4 linked regions of the Saccharomyces cerevisiae S288C genome follow. Changing the gene in region 1 together with any one later gene gives a genetic interaction. Each region holds a gene or a part of one and is shown in the gene's direction. Other genes may lie near its edges.

Region 1 (4,831 bases):
AAGCCACCGAAAACTCCTTAGGATGCAACGCTGTAGCTCTCACAGACCTCTTATGATGTGTTAGAACTTTCATTGTTTTCCCAGCAACTACATCCCATAACCTTACCGTAGCATCAGTCGATGAACTCACCACTTGAGGGTCTACTGGAGTACACTGTACTTGATTGATTGGACCCTTATGCCCAACTAGTGTAATAACAGGTATTCTGGTTCTCATATCCCAGAGTTTGATAACGCTATCTCGGCCTGCGGTAGCTATGAGATCCAGCGTTGGATGTATGCTCACCGTACGAACCCCCGATAAATGTCCATAGTAATCTCTAATAATTTGGTTTTTCTCTAGGTCCCAGCATTTGACCGTCTTATCTTCACTAACAGAAAATAAATAAGGATGTCGATCTGACACAGCAACGTCTCTCACTGTCATTACATGCCCTGCTAAGGTAGTTTTTAATTTTCCTGTTGCAAGATCCCAAACTTTCATTGTCGTATCATTACTTCCGGTGATGAACCATTCGTTGTCAACAGGATCGATTGCAACGCATCGTACCCATCCAAGATGGCCATTGATAACGCGTGAAAGTTTCCAGGGTGCATGCCATTCCGGCCTTTGTGACAGAAGTTTTTCGTATCGATTAACTATAAGTTCTTCAGCAACCTCTGGTTGGAAAATTTTATTCACAAAAGCAGATGCATGCGTATCGTGATCTTTCTTGCTAATCACTGCTTGTGATGCTTCTGAAAAATCTGTAGGAACATGCTGCAGAGTAACTTTCTTGCCTTCACCACTAAAAGAAGAACTTTCCTTCCTATAAGTATCATATCGCATTAGCAATGATTTCTGACCTTCCATTTCGCTTTGTAGGTGGGGCGGCAGAGTGGCCATATATGAAAATTGGTTATTCCAGCGTATTCTGGAATAAAATTTGTCTACATCTCCTAAATTTTCGACTTTGTGATCATTTCCGTCCATTCTCACTAATCTCCATGTAACACAGTGTCTGCATCCTCGGAAATGGTTTTAAGATGCAATGAAGTGGGTAATAATTACTGTTAGCTTCACATCTTGAATAATCTTTTATTGCCAAAATTGTAGCTTTTCCGTATTAGATGATGAAGAATTTTGAGCACCCTTACTTAATAAAAGAGTTGTTGAACTCGAAATAGGAATACGAGATGAGGAGTAATTCTCTGAAAGTAGATAGCTCCTCTTGTCACATTGAATGCTACTTTATTGTGACTATAGGTGATTTAAGCGAACGAATGTTCTTAGGTCATCGTGGATTTGTGTGGTGATTTTCGGCTTATCTTAACAATGTTGACCGCGTGGACCCTCCCAATCTTGACAACAGAACACTTATCAATAACGGTATACAATAAATATCTTGTATGAATTAAATAAAGTAACGTTTTTTCCCTCATATCATTCCGAATCATTACGAAAATTCCAATACCTGTATTTTGAAGTCAACAAGAGTTTCGTTATCCGAATACTATTTTTTGTATCAATAAATTTTGTTTCGTTTTTCATTAATAACTAGTCACTGTGTAGTGGAAGCAAGTTCTCCTTATCCGTTGCCAAGAGACAATAAAAGACCCACATATAGGTGAATATACTGCTCACCATGGTTAATCCTGTTGGATCCTCGAAATTGGAACAAAACAATATAAAAAGCATTATAGGATCATCGTACAATCGACTATACAGCCAATTTACTTCTGATGAGTTGACAGAAGTGGGAAACTACAAGATTTTAAAACAAATAGGTGAAGGAAGTTTTGGAAAAGTATATTTAGCGCTCCATAGACCAACACATCGTAAAGTCTGCCTAAAGACGAGTGATAAGAATGATCCCAATATCGTTAGAGAGGTATTTTACCATAGACAGTTCGATTTTCCTTATATTACAAAGCTTTATGAAGTGATAGTGACAGAATCAAAAGTGTGGATGGCATTAGAATATTGCCCAGGGAAGGAATTATATGACCACTTACTTTCTCTGCGTAGAATATCGTTATTGGAATGCGGAGAGTTGTTTGCACAAATTTCAGGTGCTGTTTACTATGCACACTCAATGCATTGTGTTCATAGAGATTTGAAGTTAGAGAATATTTTATTAGACAAAAATGGAAATGCAAAATTGACGGATTTTGGTTTTACGAGAGAATGTATGACAAAGACGACATTAGAAACGGTTTGCGGTACCACAGTTTATATGGCACCTGAATTGATAGAAAGAAGGACTTATGATGGATTCAAGATTGATATATGGTCATTGGGAGTGATACTATACACATTAATTACGGGATATTTGCCATTTGATGATGACGATGAGGCTAAAACGAAATGGAAAATCGTCAATGAAGAACCGAAATACGATGCTAAAGTTATTCCGGACGATGCTAGGGATTTGATCTCACGATTATTGGCTAAAAATCCGGGAGAGCGCCCATCGTTGTCACAAGTTTTACGCCACCCTTTTTTACAGCCTTACGGTTCAGTGGTTTTAGATCAGACTCAGAAAATTTTGTGCAGACAGCGCAGTGGAGGGACTCAGTTTAAAAGTAAATTAGAAAGGCGATTGCTGAAGCGTCTTAAACAATCAGGGGTTGATACGCAAGCAATAAAACAATCAATTTTGAAAAAAAAGTGCGATTCACTCTCGGGTCTATGGTTATTGTTGTTAGCCCAAGGGAAAAAGCAAGAAAATTGCAAATATCCAAAAAGAAGCAGGTCCGTTTTATCAGTCAAAAAAGTTATTGAAAGTGCTACGCATAACGACACTAATGGCATTAGCGAAGATGTTTTGAAACCCTCACTTGAACTTTCTAGAGCTGCTTCATTGAGTAAAATGCTCAATAAAGGCTCAGATTTTGTAACATCGATGACTCCGGTTAGCAGAAAGAAGTCTAAAGATTCAGCAAAAGTTCTGAATCCTACTCTCTCTAAAATATCCTCACAAAGGGCTTATAGTCACTCTATTGCAGGTTCTCCTCGCAAGTCCAATAATTTCTTACAAAAAGTTTCTAGTTTTTTCAAGTCAAAAAAAAGCTCTAACAGCAATAGCAACAATAGTATTCACACAAATGTTAGTGAAAGCTTGATTGCAAGCAATAGAGGAGCCCCATCTTCAGGGTCGTTTCTCAAAAAAAACAGTGGTTCTATTCAGAAATCAAGAACTGACACTGTTGCAAATCCTTCAAGGACGGAGTCTATAGGATCGTTAAACGAAAATGTTGCCGGTGCCATTGTGCCACGGAGTGCTAATAATACTACATTAGAAAATAAGAAAACTTCTGGGAATGAAATAGGCTTAAAAGTAGCTCCAGAACTATTATTAAATGAACATATCCGAATAGAGGAACCTCGCCTCAAGCGCTTCAAATCGTCCATATCAAGTGAAATATCTCAAACTTCTACTGGTAATTATGATAGCGAATCTGCGGAAAATTCTAGGTCTATATCTTTTGATGGAAAAGTTTCCCCGCCACCGATACGAAATCGGCCATTGTCAGAGATATCGCAAATTTCTAATGACACTTATATATCAGAGTACTCCACTGATGGTAATAATTCGTCATTCAAAATTTCAGACACTATCAAGCCGAGCTATATACGAAAAGGCTCTGAAACTACCTCGCAGTATTCAGCTTCATCCGAAAAAATGACAAATGGCTACGGTAGAAAATTTGTCAGGAGGGATTTAAGCATTGTATCGACTGCGTCGAGCACCTCTGAAAGAAGTTCAAGAACAGATTCCTTTTACGATATCACTACAGCTACACCAGTTGTGACCACTGATAATAGGCGCAATAAAAACAATAATCTGAAAGAGTCTGTTTTGCCCAGATTTGGGACTCAAAGGCCATGGACTGGCAAAAGGACGTATACCACGTCCCGCCATGGCAAGAATGCTAGGCGTTCGTCTAAAAGAGGTCTGTTCAAAATAACTTCTTCAAATACAGACTCTATTATTCAAGAAGTAAGCTCATCAGAAGAAGAAGATCATAATGTTATCTATAGCAAGGGAAAGGGTCTTCCAACACCAGTTTTGCAAACTAAAGGATTAATAGAAAATGGGTTGAACGAACGCGATGAAGAAGGAGATGACGAGTATGCAATTCACACTGACGGAGAATTTTCTATCAAACCGCAGTTTTCCGATGACGTTATCGACAAACAGAATCATTTGCCCAGCGTGAAGGCTGTGGCAACTAAACGTTCGTTGAGCGAAGGAAGTAATTGGTCTAGTAGCTATTTGGATTCGGACAATAATCGGCGAAGGGTATCTTCATTGCTAGTAGAGGATGGGGGGAATCCTACAGCGTAGGTACCGGATAACAGAGTAACTGGTAAAAACGGCAAAAAATACTGTAAGGAAGTTGTCTATATATGTACATATGGATATTGCGGTATAATAAAAAAGCTTTAAAATTATAAAGAAACCCGACTTTTATCACATATAATTATATTATAAAAAAATAATGGCATCTGTATGAACTCGCGATTAAGCTCACTTTTTTCTAATGATCGAAGTTTTGTCCGGTTATCCAACTGTGGCAAGAACATCGCGAGGCGGAGCTAAACACAGAATTTTTGTAGCGCGATGAGAAACATAACGCCTCTTTAGATAAATTATCATCACCTTTTTTACACTAAATAATGAAGTAGCATGCTCAGAAGTGCGAATGAATTTTTGTTCTTTTGGTTCTAGAAGAACGGAGATAGGAAACCTATGATGTAAGTATGAATGACATTAAACAATTACTTTGGAATGGTGAGCTTAATGTGCTGGTATCGATCGATCCTTCATTTTTGATGAAAGGAAGT
Region 2 (4,208 bases), on another chromosome or scaffold:
CACGGCTGTATAATATACAATAGGCCGTTACAGCAGAACACAATTTTTAGTTTAGACCCAACAAGGTGAACCATACGAACTGATATGAGGTTTCTTTCAAAAAGGATACTGAAACCTGTACTTTCAGTGATCATTCTAATATCGATTGCCGTAACCGTTGTTCTTTACTTTTTAACGGCGAATGAGAACTATTTGCAAGCAGTCAAGGATAGTGCCAAGTCCCAGTATGCTTCTCTCCGGGAGAGCTACAAAAGTATTACAGGTAAAACTGAAAGCGCTGATGAACTTCCTGATCATGATGCTGAGGTGTTAGATAGCATAATGGACAGGCTACACGAGCCCCTTTATGAAAAGGACACTTTTGACCCGAATGAAGTCCTTGCTGAAAATAAACAGTTGTACGAGGAGTTTTTACTTCAAGAAATTTCTGAGCCAAAGGTGGACAATTTGGTACGTAGCGGGGATCCGTTAGCCGGCAAGGCAAAAGGAACTATTTTGAGTTTGGTGAGAAATTCTGATTTAGAGGATATAATTTCTTCTATTCAACAGCTAGAAGAGGAGTACAATAAGAATTTTGGATATCCCTATACCTTCCTTAACGATGAGGAATTTACTGACGAATTCAAAGATGGAATAAAAAGTATTCTTCCTAAGGACCGTGTAGTAGAATTTGGCACTATTGGTCCAGATAACTGGAATATGCCTGATAGCATAGATAGGGAGAGATACGACCAAGAAATGGACAAAATGAGTAAAGAGAACATTCAGTATGCAGAGGTGGAATCCTATCATAACATGTGTCGTTTCTATTCTAAAGAATTTTACCATCATCCTCTGCTATCTAAATATAAATATGTGTGGAGATTAGAGCCAAACGTGAATTTCTATTGCAAAATTAACTATGACGTTTTCCAATTTATGAACAAGAATGACAAGATTTATGGGTTTGTTTTGAACCTCTATGATAGTCCGCAAACCATCGAAACGCTATGGACTTCAACTATGGATTTTGTCGAGGAACACCCAAACTATTTGAACGTCAACGGAGCCTTCGCATGGCTAAAAGATAACTCTCAAAATCCAAAAAATTATGATTATACTCAAGGGTATTCAACTTGTCATTTCTGGACCAATTTTGAAATAGTCGATTTAGACTTTTTGAGGTCAGAACCTTATGAAAAATATATGCAATATCTTGAAGAAAAGGGAGGATTCTACTATGAAAGGTGGGGTGATGCCCCTGTAAGAAGTTTGGCACTTGCTTTATTTGCGGATAAGTCAAGCATCCATTGGTTCAGGGATATAGGTTATCACCATACTCCGTACACGAACTGTCCAACTTGTCCAGCAGATTCAGATAGGTGTAATGGAAATTGTGTACCAGGCAAATTCACTCCTTGGAGTGATCTAGACAACCAAAATTGCCAGGCAACCTGGATAAGACACTCTATGTCTGAGGAAGAGTTAGAAATGTATTGAAGACATTAGCTTTGAGAATTTGTGCCGCTGCTTTCGAGAACGGCATCACATCTGGGGTTTTATGATTTAATTTAGGACGCACATAGATAGATATATATTATGGAATTAAGAAAAGTTTATAATGTAGCAACCTAAAAATGTTACAGGTGAACATTCATGGAAAATGAAATGTTTCTCAGCCAGTAGATAGTATTGTTGAAGGTATTATTGGTTTGAGAAAGCTACTCCTCAAAAATGTCACTTGATAATATGGAATTATAATGTCGTTATATTTTCAATCATTTCAATACAATATGGTAAACCGAAATCCAAAAACTTTACAATATCTCTTATCTATTGTTATTCGACATTCTTCCCGGGCCTTAACGGCTTCTTAACTAATATTACCCTAAACGGACAAATGGCGAAGGGCCCCATTCATTTACGAACAGGAAAAAAAGAAAGTGACAATACAGCCATAATTTGATGTACCATCTTAATCAGCATATGTTTTCACTAATATACTAAACCCATATGGATGCACGTTGAAAGCACTGTGTGAAAAGAAATTGTCAAGAAAGCCATATAAATGCTGAAAAACTTCAAACTCTCAAAAAGAGATAGTAATGGGTCGAAGGGCAGAATTACATCCGCAGATATTTCCACACCTTCTCATGATAATGGGAGTGTTATAAAGCATATTAAGACAGTACCAGTGAGGTACCTTTCTTCATCTTCCACCCCAGTGAAAAGCCAACGGGACTCTTCACCAAAAAACAGACATAATTCTAAAGATATTACTTCTCCAGAGAAAGTTATAAAAGCCAAATACAGTTATCAGGCACAAACTTCAAAGGAACTATCTTTCATGGAAGGTGAATTTTTTTATGTATCTGGAGATGAGAAGGATTGGTATAAAGCTTCAAATCCTTCTACTGGAAAAGAGGGTGTTGTCCCCAAAACCTATTTTGAAGTGTTTGATAGAACTAAACCTTCCTCTGTGAATGGATCCAATAGTTCAAGTCGGAAGGTTACAAATGATTCATTAAACATGGGATCGTTATACGCCATTGTTTTATATGACTTTAAGGCAGAAAAAGCTGATGAGTTGACAACTTATGTGGGAGAGAATTTGTTTATTTGCGCCCACCATAACTGTGAATGGTTCATTGCTAAGCCAATTGGTCGACTTGGAGGGCCCGGCCTTGTTCCTGTTGGGTTTGTTAGCATCATAGATATTGCCACGGGGTACGCAACAGGTAACGACGTAATAGAAGACATCAAGTCAGTTAACCTACCAACTGTTCAAGAATGGAAAAGCAACATTGCAAGATACAAAGCTAGTAATATTAGCCTTGGTTCTGTGGAGCAGCAGCAGCAGCAATCCATTACAAAACCTCAGAACAAAAGCGCAAAGCTGGTTGACGGTGAATTATTAGTGAAAGCATCCGTTGAATCCTTTGGGTTAGAAGATGAGAAGTATTGGTTTTTGGTTTGCTGTGAATTATCTAACGGTAAGACGAGGCAACTGAAAAGATACTATCAAGATTTCTACGATCTGCAGGTTCAACTTTTGGATGCGTTCCCAGCAGAGGCCGGTAAGTTGAGGGATGCAGGTGGACAATGGTCCAAACGTATAATGCCCTATATCCCTGGACCCGTTCCATACGTTACCAATAGCATAACAAAAAAAAGAAAGGAGGACTTGAATATATATGTGGCAGACCTAGTGAATCTTCCCGATTATATATCTCGCTCAGAAATGGTGCATTCCTTATTCGTTGTTTTGAATAATGGTTTCGACAGAGAATTTGAAAGAGACGAAAATCAAAACAATATTAAAACATTACAAGAAAACGATACAGCAACCTTTGCAACAGCATCTCAAACTTCTAATTTTGCCTCAACTAACCAAGACAACACTTTAACTGGCGAAGACTTGAAGTTAAACAAGAAACTCTCAGATTTATCTTTATCGGGCTCCAAGCAGGCTCCAGCCCAATCAACTTCTGGATTGAAAACTACTAAAATTAAATTTTATTACAAAGACGATATTTTTGCTTTAATGCTGAAGGGTGACACAACCTATAAAGAACTTCGTAGTAAAATCGCTCCAAGGATTGATACAGATAATTTTAAATTACAAACCAAATTATTTGATGGTAGCGGGGAGGAAATTAAGACTGATTCACAAGTCAGTAACATAATCCAAGCCAAACTGAAAATTTCCGTTCACGATATTTGAATCTAGTGTTAGAAGACGAAGCATTTTTCTTCTTTACTTGGCAGATGCACATAGGTTGAACATTTTAATCAACTTTATGATGATTTGCGAGAGTAATAAGATTCTCCCGAACAGTAATAATATTAAGGTATCCAATTCTTCCGAAACAGCGTGATTTGTAATAAAAATAAATAAGGACATATATGTATATAGAAAGTTGCTTAAACTTTTTAGACCACTTGGAAATATTTTTTATTTATATTTTTCTTCAAATGTAAAGTTGGGTACCTAAGCTTAAATTCACCTGAAAATGAATTATATGAAAGATTTTACACCACATGTAAAAAAAAACGTACAAAAAGCCAAATATTTCCACTCAATCATAATGCATGAATTATAGGTATTTTAAGTTATATTGCTGACGTAAAATTCAGAAGAGACTACAAGAAAAATTCTGAACATATTTATTCTTAAATATGCTTTTGTGCTTCCATATGTGTCAAAGGATAATGTGGCTCCCTTTCGA
Region 3 (4,479 bases), on another chromosome or scaffold:
TCCCGAGGAAGAACTTGGAGTTCAAGAAAATAAAAAAATTGAACTAGAAAGGCCACAAATTCTTCATCACAAGTCTACATCCTCTTTGTTGCCACTTCCAGGCTCGAGCAAGAGTTCCAATAATCTGAAAAGATCGTCTAGTAGGACACATTTATCCCACTCTCCATTACCAAGGAATAATAGCGGATCCTCAGTATCATTGCAGCAGTTGGCGAGAAACAACACAGATAGTTCATTTAATCTAAATCTCTCTTTCACTTCAGCAAAAAGCAGCACAGGAAGCAGACATTTTCCGTTTAATATGACAACATCTTTCACTAGTAATTCAAGTTCCAAGAACAATTCACATTTTGATAAAACTGATTCTACATCTGACGCTAATAAGCCAAGAGAAGAGGAAAACTATACGAGCGCAACCCACAATCGAAGGTCACGCTCATCGTCAGTTCGGAGCAACAATAGCAACTCACCATTAAGACAAGGAACAGGTTCATTTGCTAATTTAATGGAGATGTTCACAAAACGGGATCGCTCATAGACTGCTTTATTTTTTGTCTTCGAAATTTCGACAAAAAGATATGAGCAATACTTCATACACGTTTGTACAGTTAAGCATATATACTTTGATAGAGTACTTTCATACCTCATACCACTTGAAAAATGATAATATAATGTTATAATACTACCTCATAATTGCTATAAAGTAAAACAATTCGGCGTTGTAGTTTATGCTTCTATAATCACAAAAAAATTTCACTGAAGTTGTCAGATTCTGCCGCAAGGCTTCTCATAGATTTTGTTAAGTGGTCTTACTCGGTTTTATGGCTTGAAGGTTAACATAATTATGAAAACTTATTGATATCCTCCCCACCCCTAACGTTTTAAAAATGATCTCGTCCAATATGTTTGAGGTGAATAATATCGGACCAGTTCTTGTTTTTAAAAGATAAGAATTGCTCATATTTCCCATACTTGTTGGAAAATTTCTCTCAACAATTGTATGAAGGCAAAATCCCTCAATTGAAACATTAAAATAGTGATTAGAAAAACAGGATTAATCAGTTATACGAACGTATTTTTGAGAGAATATAATGAGAATACAATGAGCTTCAGAAGATCTGTTTTTCTTTACTTGGCACTTCTTCCTCAACAATTATTGGCACTACAAAATTTTCTAATTAAATGTTAAAGATCCCACAGACATCATTCGTATATATCCTCCCATTTTATACGGTTAGCCAACTTTGCGATCCTACGGAAATTGCTATTTTTATAGTCAACTCATTGATCTCGAGCACAGCTGCTCTTTTCTCTCAATGAATTACGTTATATGTTAATCACACAAGCATCAGTTTTTCATCGCAAAAGAAAATATTTAGAGTTCTTGCAATTCAGATGTACCTCAATTAATAACTCAATCACCTCCTATGTTCTTGCTGGTAGTACTGCTTTTGTCTTAATTACTGCTGAATCAGCCTTCTAGAAGACCGTTCTGTTTCAGCCGCTCGCCCCTTTTCAAAGCTTGCGCGGCTGAGTTTTATGAGGGGCGGCTTTTTTGTGAATGGCAATCTACCATTATTAGTAGCAATATGATTTGCAGATAGATACATATATATCCTTCTGGGTTCATGTCTCGTTACCATCCACACTAATGCATAGGACCAGAAAGAAAGGACATCGAATCCAACACGTATTAAAATAAGGACTCCTCATTAAAAAGGCTTTTAATATTCAACTTGCTATAGATCACGCACCCTTTTGGCAAGTCAACCTTAAATTATTATGATTTCTGTTTGCCCACAAAATGACTTGCAAAAATGCTACAGAAGCCTCACATTCGATGTTCCAGGACAACAATTCGAAGAGAGAAATGAACAAAACCTTAAAAAACGGGCCAAAAAGAAAGGCAGTTTCCAACCATCTGTTGCCTTTGACACAGTGCCTTCCACCGCTGGTTATTCTTCTATAGACGACAGCAGGGAAGGATTCAAAGGTGTACCTGTTCCCAACTATTACACGATGGAAGAGTGCTATGACGATGAAACAGACTCTTTTTCGCCAAATTTGCAATATTATTTGAGAGATACATTCCAATCATCACCTTTTCTGAATACTAGAAAAGAGAACAAATCTGAATCCAGTAGTTTTCCAATGAGATCCTCAAAGTTGTTGGAAAAGAATTCTGACATCAAAAAATATTTCTTGGTATCCAAGAATGGAAAAATAGTGAGGAGAGACTATCCAAGCACGCCAGTAATTGTCAACGAAACGTTGATGATAAACAGGTTTGAAAAGAACTGGATAAAGTTATGGCGCCAAAGAAAACTACAAATAAATGAAAGGCTGAATGACAAAAAAAAATGGTTTACTTACCCAGAACTTATCTTCTCTGAAGAGCGTATTAAACCGTTATATAGAGGAGATGATAGTGCACCATGTACAAAAGAACAAAAAAGAAAGCATAAAATACTTCAACAAAAGGTCGGATATCCCAATAACCCTAAGACAATAGTTTGTCACATTAACGGAAAAAAACATACGTGGGTTGCCCTAGACTGGACAGTCTACAAGTTTGCACGAAATCTTGATCACATTGTTGTCATAACTACACTGCCAAAAATGATTTCTAACAGGAAAAAAACTGCAAAAGATGATACAGAATGGGCACCGGGATATCAAAAAGAAGTAATAGATCAAAAATTAAACGACATTTTTGATTATATTTTACAGCTAGTAAAAGTGGTCAAAATATCCGTCAAAATTACTTTAGAAATAATTGTAGGCAAAATTAAAAAAAGTCTGGTAGATGTCATTAATGTCCATACTCCAGATTTCTTAGTTCTTGCTACTTTAAAGCACGAGCGAAATGAGAATCTTATTACATATAAATCCAAAAAGCTGACAGATGTCTTTCCTGTTAGTTATCCGATTCCCACATTTGTTGTTCCCTCGAAACGAATGTATTCGTTCGAACTGAATCTACAAAGAGAAGTAAATGAACATTATGTCTCAAAAAATCATATGAAGCACGAACACACTGACGTTGAGAGCATGAGCAGTTCAATGTTCAAAAAAAATACAATATCAGATATTTCTTCACATATTTCCGTAGATTCGTACGCCGAAGATTTCAAAAGGCAAGGCTACATCAAAAAGCAGTTCAACACCTCTAATGATTCCATTCCAAGAAAATTGACCGGTCTCGCCCAGCATTCAAGAAGGAAGATCACGGGTGATATAGAAAAATTACAAGACGATGAGAAAGATAGAGAATGTACTAAGGAAAAACTTTTGTTGAAGAAAATTGATATCATAATTAGAGAGTCATTGAAGTCTTCTTTAGCGATAGAGACGTTGCCTGGTAAAAATGTATCGCAGTCCAGTCACGGTGACCAAATTTCCAGCTTTAAGAATGCTTTGATAGGCAATGGGTCGAAAAACACAAAGTTTAGAAAATCTTTAATACCATATTCTTCCTCAGAGGAACAAAATACCACAACAACTATTAAACTCAGTAGCTCGCCTACGTCCCAAATCAAGTTTGCAACCTCTGTAAAACACAAAGATGGAAGAGCCGCCCTTGGCAAAGCCAGAAATCTGCCTGATATAAGGCACAGTATTTCCTTCGACAAAGAAAATTCCTTTGATCCATCTGATAAAAGCAGTAGTGTTGATAATAGCATTCCTTTGAGGAAAGTTAAAAGTGCCGGTGCGTTAAGAAAAGTCAAAACTAATGACTCCTCAAGTAGTGCAGGGTCAAAGAAAAGCTCGTCTAGTTTTAGTACTGTGAACACCTTCACTGGGGGTGGAGTTGGGATTTTTAAGGTGTTTAAAAGTGGAAGTTCCTCTGGAAATAAATCATCCAGTAGAAGGAATAGTAGCAGTGGCGATGTTTTTGAAAGTGATGATCGTAACGACAAGAAAAAGAAGAAGAAAAAAAAGAAGAAATCATTGTTCTTATTCGGCAAAATATGAGCGGATAGTTTGTACACATAGTGTCCCTAAAATTCCTATTGATGAATAGATCAATTTTATTAGCAGACAATTGGGGGCAGCAACTGAATAGCAGAAGAAATTTGAGTTCAATTATTTTTTTTTCCTGTCATACATAATGGCCTATTTACAGGTACATACATATAGAGTATGTATATAAAATCTCTGTTGAAGAAGACATCATTCTTAGTCCTTGGCAATCTTAGCCAGGATTTCAGCGTCCCTGAAAAGAATAACTTCATCGTCGTTACCCAATTTAATGGTAGAACCACCAAACTGTGGAATCAAAACTTGGTCACCAACTTTAACTTGAGGAACAACCTTATTACCATTAGCATCAGTAAAGCCCGGGCCTACGGCAACAACTTCAGCTTGGTTTAACTTCTCCACGTTCTTTTCAGGTAAATACAACCCGGATGCTGTCTTTGCTTGTGCCTTGATTCTTTGGACAAGGACACGGTCCATCAATGGAACGATAGATTTAGC
Region 4 (7,298 bases), on another chromosome or scaffold:
ATTCATTATTTTTTTTACCCTTCTCTTTTAATTGTTCAATTGCGAACAGACCATCCAAAGATTCGAAAGAAAGACTGAGGTGCTCCGCATAAAATCTTTATAAACTTTAGAAGTAAATGGTTTCGTTCAGAGGGCTGACTACACTAACACTACTTTTTACCAAATTAGTAAACTGTAATCCTGTTTCCACAAAAAATAGGGACTCTATACAGTTTATTTATAAAGAAAAGGATAGTATATACTCTGCCATCAACAATCAAGCCATCAATGAAAAAATTCATGGAGTCAATTTGGGTGGGTGGCTAGTATTGGAGCCGTATATTACACCTTCTTTATTCGAGACTTTCCGTACTAATCCGTACAACGATGACGGTATTCCTGTTGATGAATACCATTTTTGTGAAAAATTAGGCTATGAAAAGGCAAAGGAACGCCTTTATAGTCATTGGTCGACGTTCTATAAAGAGGAAGACTTCGCGAAAATTGCTTCTCAAGGCTTCAATTTGGTTAGAATTCCTATTGGGTATTGGGCCTTTACAACGTTGAGTCATGATCCCTATGTTACCGCCGAGCAGGAATATTTTCTAGACCGGGCTATCGATTGGGCTAGGAAATATGGTTTGAAAGTATGGATTGATCTTCATGGAGCCGCTGGTTCACAAAACGGATTTGATAACTCAGGGTTGAGGGATTCATATAAGTTTCTGGAAGATGAAAATTTAAGCGCCACCATGAAAGCTTTAACGTATATTTTAAGCAAATACTCAACAGACGTATACCTGGACACCGTTATTGGAATCGAATTGCTCAATGAACCGTTAGGTCCAGTTATTGACATGGAAAGATTGAAAAATTTGCTTTTGAAGCCGGCTTATGACTATTTGAGAAATAAAATTAATAGCAACCAGATCATTGTAATACATGATGCTTTTCAACCTTACCATTATTGGGATGGGTTTTTGAATGATGAAAAGAACGAATATGGCGTCATAATTGACCATCATCATTATCAGGTGTTCTCGCAGGTGGAATTAACAAGAAAAATGAATGAACGTATCAAAATCGCCTGCCAATGGGGGAAAGATGCCGTAAGCGAGAAGCATTGGTCCGTAGCAGGCGAATTTTCAGCGGCCTTAACAGATTGTACAAAGTGGTTAAATGGGGTTGGTCTAGGTGCCAGATATGATGGAAGTTGGACCAAAGACAATGAAAAATCTCATTACATAAATACGTGTGCAAACAACGAGAATATTGCCTTGTGGCCCGAAGAGAGAAAACAGAACACTAGAAAGTTTATCGAGGCTCAATTAGATGCTTTTGAAATGACTGGTGGATGGATAATGTGGTGTTACAAGACAGAGAATAGTATCGAATGGGATGTTGAAAAATTGATTCAACTCAACATTTTTCCGCAACCTATCAACGATAGGAAATATCCTAACCAATGTCATTGAAATTTTGTGGCATATATTTAAGGTCTTGGGAATGTGATGATTATTATTGGAGAAAAAATTGCCATCTAAAACTCTTTATATAACATGATGAGGTATACAAATAAAAAATACTTTATATCTTATAATTATGCAAATAAAAGTGCTTCCATCAACCGCTACTTCACTTTTTATCTGAACTATGAATGGGGAGCTCATGATGATTACCTGTTGATATTACGTGAGGCGGAAGAGAAGCACGAGACACGGGTCACTCTCGATATTACCGGACAGTTTACTTAGACTATGTAACGAATATGAGAGGAAGAAAAACAATAAATAAATACAAACCTCTCCGCAGTTTTATGAAAGAACAGGACAGGGCGTCTATACCGATTTTTACATCTATCTTTTGAGTGCTTGAAAGGAGACGCTGGACTATATCTTTAGGTTAAACATCTGTCAAATGGCAGCAGTACCCACCATCGACCTTACACTAGCCGATTCAGATAATGAAGACATATTCCATTCTTTTTCGTCTTCAACAAGTGTGGATAAGATAGACATTAGGAAAGAAAATGGGAAATTAAGAATGGCAGGCTTGGAAGTCGCCCAATCTAATGACGATGCAGCACGTCAAGCATTCCATGTTTTCAAGACGAACATATCAAATAATGAAACCTTCGATACTATTCTTTCAAAGAGCAAGACAATCACAGACAGTACCTTCAACAATGAAAAATCTTCCAACGAAGTAAAACAGCAGCAAGTCTTGAAGGAAGAAACGATGGGATCTTCCAACGATGAGAAGAAAACACAAGAGAGCAGCCCAAGCGCAGAGATGATAAAACTTTTTTATGAAAACGATGATGTGCCGTTATCCGATAGTTTTAAACAAAAAGAGGAAGGTAAAAGAATAAATCAGGATGAGCAAGTGAAGGAAAATATCTGTGGCATTTCTTCCTCATACGTCTCCAAAGACTACGATGGCGTTGAAGATGATTTCGAGCCTAATACTTGCCAGGACAGCAATTTGGATTTTCAAGAGGAGAAGTTAAACTTGAATAACAAACCGTCACAGCAACAGTTCAGCGACCCAGAAACAAAAGATAACAGTTTGAAGAGCGAAAACAAAGACCAAATAAAAGGAGTCACAACAACAAGTTATCGTGATTTACCTATTGAATCTAGTGCTTTCCAGGATTCTGAAACTCAAAATAACTCCAAAAACACTATACCTAACATCGTAAATGAAAAGCGAACGCCAGCATTACCGTCCAATCTAAGCTCTGTTGAGAGTTCCCTTAAAAACGAGACGGCCAAAGTAGAGGGGAAGACGACCGTTCGTCTTCCAGGACTTCAAAATAATGTTGCCTTACTTGAGCAAGAACAAAGTGAACTATTCAAGCACTTTAGTGAACAACCTGTCGATATTAGCGATTTTGGTCGTAAGATTAAAAGGAAGCATAGCGGAGATTTTGCAGATAACAAGATACTTAAAAGACCGATATTGCCCTCAAAAAATATGGACCACACAACACATAATTCACATGATTCCGAACAGAAAAATAGCTCGATTATTATTCTTTCAGATGAGGACGAATCTGGTGCCGGTATCAATGATATAGAAAGTCCTTTGAAAGTTTCTGAACCAAATACAGCTGATGCGCTTAGGAGCAGTGTACCAGAAGTCATATCTTTACTTGACCTACCCAATATTGACTTGAATAACTCAGTAATAAAAGAAGCAAGTGGCAGCAATTCAATTCCTACATCAGAAACAGACGCACAATCCTCGAGTTCGTCAGTTCTTCAAGGAACTATCATGACAGAACAAGCTACTCAATCCTCTCAACACGAATGTAACAGTTCACTTGATACTCTAAAAAAAAATCATCAAAAATTATTGAAGGATTTGAATTCTAGAGAGTCTGAACTACGTAATGCTCTCAGTTGCTGCAAGACAAACTCTGAAATTTTAAGAAGGAAACTAAGTAGAAGAGAAAAGGAGGTCTCTGATGCTGAAAAACATTGGCAGTTATTGTTGACATCGATGGCTAGAGGGGGAAGAACTATCAGCTCAACTCAGCAGATATTAGTTGATGAAGCTGAGAACCAATTAAACAAACTGAAGGAAAAAAGACAGTTGACAAAATCGAAGCTAGATTCAATCAATTTGAAAATGTATAATTATAACGAACAATGGAAGTCCTTTGTGCATTCGAAAAATATAAACCTGCAGAAATCTTTGGCTGCCCTTGAGCGGTCAGCCAGGGATAGTAAAGCTTCTGCGACCGTAAATAAAAGAAACGAATGCCTGGCTGAGAAAGAAAAGCTAGACCAAATGTTAAAAGAAGGAACCCTAAGCTTCAGTACCTACAAGCAGTTAACAGGGGAGATCCAGCAGAAACTGAATGACTTGAAACTGGGGGACCAACGCACAACTGATATCAATAGTGTATTGCCAATAGTACGGCAACCTCTCGCCAAAAGAGATTTATTTATTAAGTCCATTGATACTGCAAAAGATTTATTAGCCAAGAACACATCCAGGACAGAAATGACGAAGAGAATTCTTTATAGACATTTGGACAACTTGGTCTCTTATAAAAACTTTTTTGAAGACGGAAGATCCTTAATAGATATAAACAGAAGACACGTTGCACATGAATCGGCCCAAATATTGTTCACCAACGGTGTAAAGATGCCCATTGTTTTTGAAACATTACAAGATTACGGCATCAAGTTTTCTAATCCAGCCATTGTCAATCCTGACAGAAGAGCCCAATATTTTAAAAGCATCGAAGTTGCACGCGATCTCATATCAAAGTCTACTAGATCAGAGGATGCTAAACGAAAGATTACTCGATTTTTGAATATAATTGAAGAATTTCGTAAAGATATTGACACCGGATTTCCACCTACTCCTTTAAAAAGGGAAGGCGTCGGAAAAGCTGTTGTTGGGCTAAGACAACAAGGACTTAAGATGGACAGACTATATGAAAATTTGAGAAGATATAAGATTCCAATAACAAGTGAAGAATTACTGCAGCAAAGCTATTTATTTCCGGTAAACGCAGATCAACGACCTCCTTCAAACTGGAACATCGTGGAAAATACCGAAGATACTAGTTCTACAGCCAATGATCTATCGATGCAAGATGAATTTCACATCTCTAATATGCATGCAGCAGAAGATCAAGAACAGATTAGGGCTCTTTTAGAGAATGTCAAACAATCTGAATCCATTATAGACGGCGAAGCACTTACTCCCGAGGATATGACCGTAAACTTATTAAAACACCAGAGGCTGGGTCTGCATTGGTTGTTACAAGTTGAAAACTCCGCAAAAAAAGGGGGTCTGCTTGCTGACGATATGGGCCTGGGTAAAACGATTCAAGCTATTGCATTGATGTTAGCAAATCGCTCAGAGGAATCCAAATGTAAAACCAATTTGATCGTCGCACCAGTCTCAGTCTTGAGAGTTTGGAAAGGTGAATTAGAAACGAAAGTAAAAAAACGCGCAAAATTTACTACATTTATTTTTGGAGGATCAGGTAACGGAAAAGTTAAGCACTGGAGGGATTTGGCAAGATATGATGCTGTTTTGGTATCTTATCAAACTCTAGCAAACGAATTTAAGAAACATTGGCCGAAAAAACTGGATGGTGAACAAAATCAGCTACCAGCTGTGCCTCATATACAAGCTCTTAATAGGTTGAAAACCTCAAATGAATACTACTCTCCATTTTTCTGCAATGATTCAACGTTTTACAGAATTTTACTGGACGAAGGCCAAAACATCAAGAACAAAAATACAAGGGCTTCTAAAGCGTGCTGTACTATAAATGGAATGTATAGGTGGGTCTTGTCTGGTACGCCGATTCAAAATAGTATGGATGAGCTTTATTCCTTGATAAGATTTCTAAGAATTCCACCCTACCACAAGGAGCAACGGTTTAAATTAGACATTGGAAGGTTTTTTCAGAGAAATAAGCAATATCAATATGATAACGAGGATAGAAAAAACGCATTAAGAAAGGTTAGAGTCCTTCTAAATGCCATTATGCTTCGTCGGTCTAAGGCTGATAAGATCGACGGCAAACCTTTACTGGAGCTCCCTCCTAAAATTGTGGAAGTAGATGAATCACGCCTGAAGGGAGAGGAATTAAAATTTTACACAGCTTTGGAATCAAAAAATCAAGCACTCGCTAAGAAATTGTTGAACAATTCTACGAGGGGGAGCTACTCTAGCGTTCTCACATTACTACTTCGCTTAAGGCAGGCTTGTTGTCATTCAGAATTAGTTGTGATGGGAGAAAAAAAAGCGGAAGGTACAAAGGTAGCTAACGGCAAAAGCTTTGAAGATGACTGGCTCAGGCTCTACTATAAAATCACTCACATGAGCGGAGAAGCGCAGGCTCAGGTTATTACTTCAATGAATTCTATGACATGTTTCTGGTGCATGGAACAATTAGAACCAGAAGCGATGTCCGTTCTGACAGGTTGTGGTCATTTGATTTGCGACACTTGTATCGAGCCCTTCATCGAAGAGTCATCCATGCTACCTCAGGCCAAGAAAACCAAAGGTGGGGCATTTGCTATCCCATGCAAAGATTGTCAACGTTTGACAAACGAGAAAGATATTGTTTCGCACAAGTTATACGACCAGGTAATAAACCAGGGATTTACTGAGGAAGATTTGCATGCAGAGTATTTAAGTGAAATGGAGAAACAAAAAATACAGCAAAAAAATGTATATGTGCCAAATTTTGAGAGTTTAGAACCATCTACGAAGATAGAGCAATGTATACAGGTTATTCAAAGAGTTTTTGATGAATCAGCAACCGAAAAAATTATTATTTTTTCCCAGTTTACAACATTTTTTGAGATTCTCGAACATTTTCTCAAAAATAAACTGAATTTTCCCTACTTGAAATATATTGGATCAATGAACGCTCAGAGAAGATCAGATGTTATCAACGAATTTTATCGTGACCCTGAGAAAAGGATACTTCTGATTTCCATGAAAGCCGGTAACTCAGGACTAACATTGACATGTGCGAACCATGTAGTTATAGTTGATCCATTTTGGAATCCTTACGTCGAAGAACAAGCTCAAGACCGTTGCTATAGAATTAGTCAAACAAAAAAAGTCCAGGTGCATAAATTGTTTATAAAGGACTCTGTTGAGGATCGTATTTCTGAATTACAGAAGAGAAAGAAGGAAATGGTCGATTCTGCCATGGACCCAGGCAAGATAAAGGAAGTGAATAGTTTAGGGCGTCGGGAGTTAGGATTTTTATTTGGTTTAAACGCTCTTTGAAGAACTTGGTGAATTTTGAAGCATTATTGCGATACACATATGTATATGTTGATAATTGGTGGCTAAGCTTCTAGTTTGTAGGCTTAAGTAACTTCACTCGTTGGCACTTACGAGCTTGGCATTTAATGGAACAGAAAATAAGCCGTAAATCGGCCCTACTTTAAGTATAAGAAATATGCGAAATTTGATATGATCGTTTGAATTACTTTTTGAAAAAGAAAATACCATTAGTAACATACAATATAAGAAGCTCGTCTCCTGGATTTGGAAATCCACAAAAGATTATCAACAATGCCACGAATAACATAATTGCTTCCCCCTCCTGTTAATTGCTTTAACTCATTATTGCATCGTTAACAGTTGTTACTAAATTTGATTTTTGTTTCTCATCATATATGTAATCTTCAAACGCCAGTATAATTATACGCTCGCAACAGCTACCATACATTAATGAACCGATGAAAATATCCCGTTTGATGATAACTGGCAATTAAATGACAGTATTAATTAATAATCAAAGCTGATCTTATATTCCTATAAAA

What was found.
Region 2: mutations in YPL150W (region 1) and BEM1 together harm fitness more than expected from each alone (negative genetic interaction), as found in Saccharomyces cerevisiae (3 studies listed by BioGRID).
Region 3: mutations in YPL150W (region 1) and YOR019W together harm fitness more than expected from each alone (negative genetic interaction), as found in Saccharomyces cerevisiae (3 studies listed by BioGRID).
Region 4: mutations in YPL150W (region 1) and ULS1 together harm fitness more than expected from each alone (negative genetic interaction), as found in Saccharomyces cerevisiae (3 studies listed by BioGRID).

What each region holds. Positions count from the first base shown.
Region 1 is NC_001148.4:266,563-271,393, forward strand, and holds YPL150W (non-specific serine/threonine protein kinase), read left to right. Parts: upstream 1-1,625; coding exon 1,626-4,331; downstream 4,332-4,831. Other genes in the region: mRNA splicing protein PRP46, read right to left, coding at 1-973; ATG5 (Atg5p), read left to right, coding at 4,748-4,831. UniProt on the Saccharomyces cerevisiae protein: Putative serine/threonine-protein kinase.
Region 2 is NC_001134.8:618,825-623,032, forward strand, and holds BEM1 (phosphatidylinositol-3-phosphate-binding protein BEM1), read left to right. Parts: upstream 1-2,047; coding exon 2,048-3,703; downstream 3,704-4,208. Other genes in the region: KTR4 (putative mannosyltransferase), read left to right, coding at 85-1,479; YBR200W-A (uncharacterized protein), read left to right, coding at 4,159-4,208.
Region 3 is NC_001147.6:366,345-370,823, forward strand, and holds YOR019W (uncharacterized protein), read left to right. Parts: upstream 1-1,782; coding exon 1,783-3,975; downstream 3,976-4,479. Other genes in the region: ROD1 (Rod1p), read left to right, coding at 1-538; HSP10 (Hsp10p), read right to left, coding at 4,180-4,479.
Region 4 is NC_001147.6:690,579-697,876, forward strand, and holds ULS1 (translocase ULS1), read left to right. Parts: upstream 1-1,896; coding exon 1,897-6,756; downstream 6,757-7,298. Other genes in the region: SPR1 (glucan 1,3-beta-glucosidase), read left to right, coding at 117-1,454. UniProt on the Saccharomyces cerevisiae protein: ATP-dependent helicase involved mating type switching and in silencing interference through its interaction with the silencing regulator SIR4. Cooperates with UBC4 and UBC5 to mediate ubiquitination of SUMO conjugates.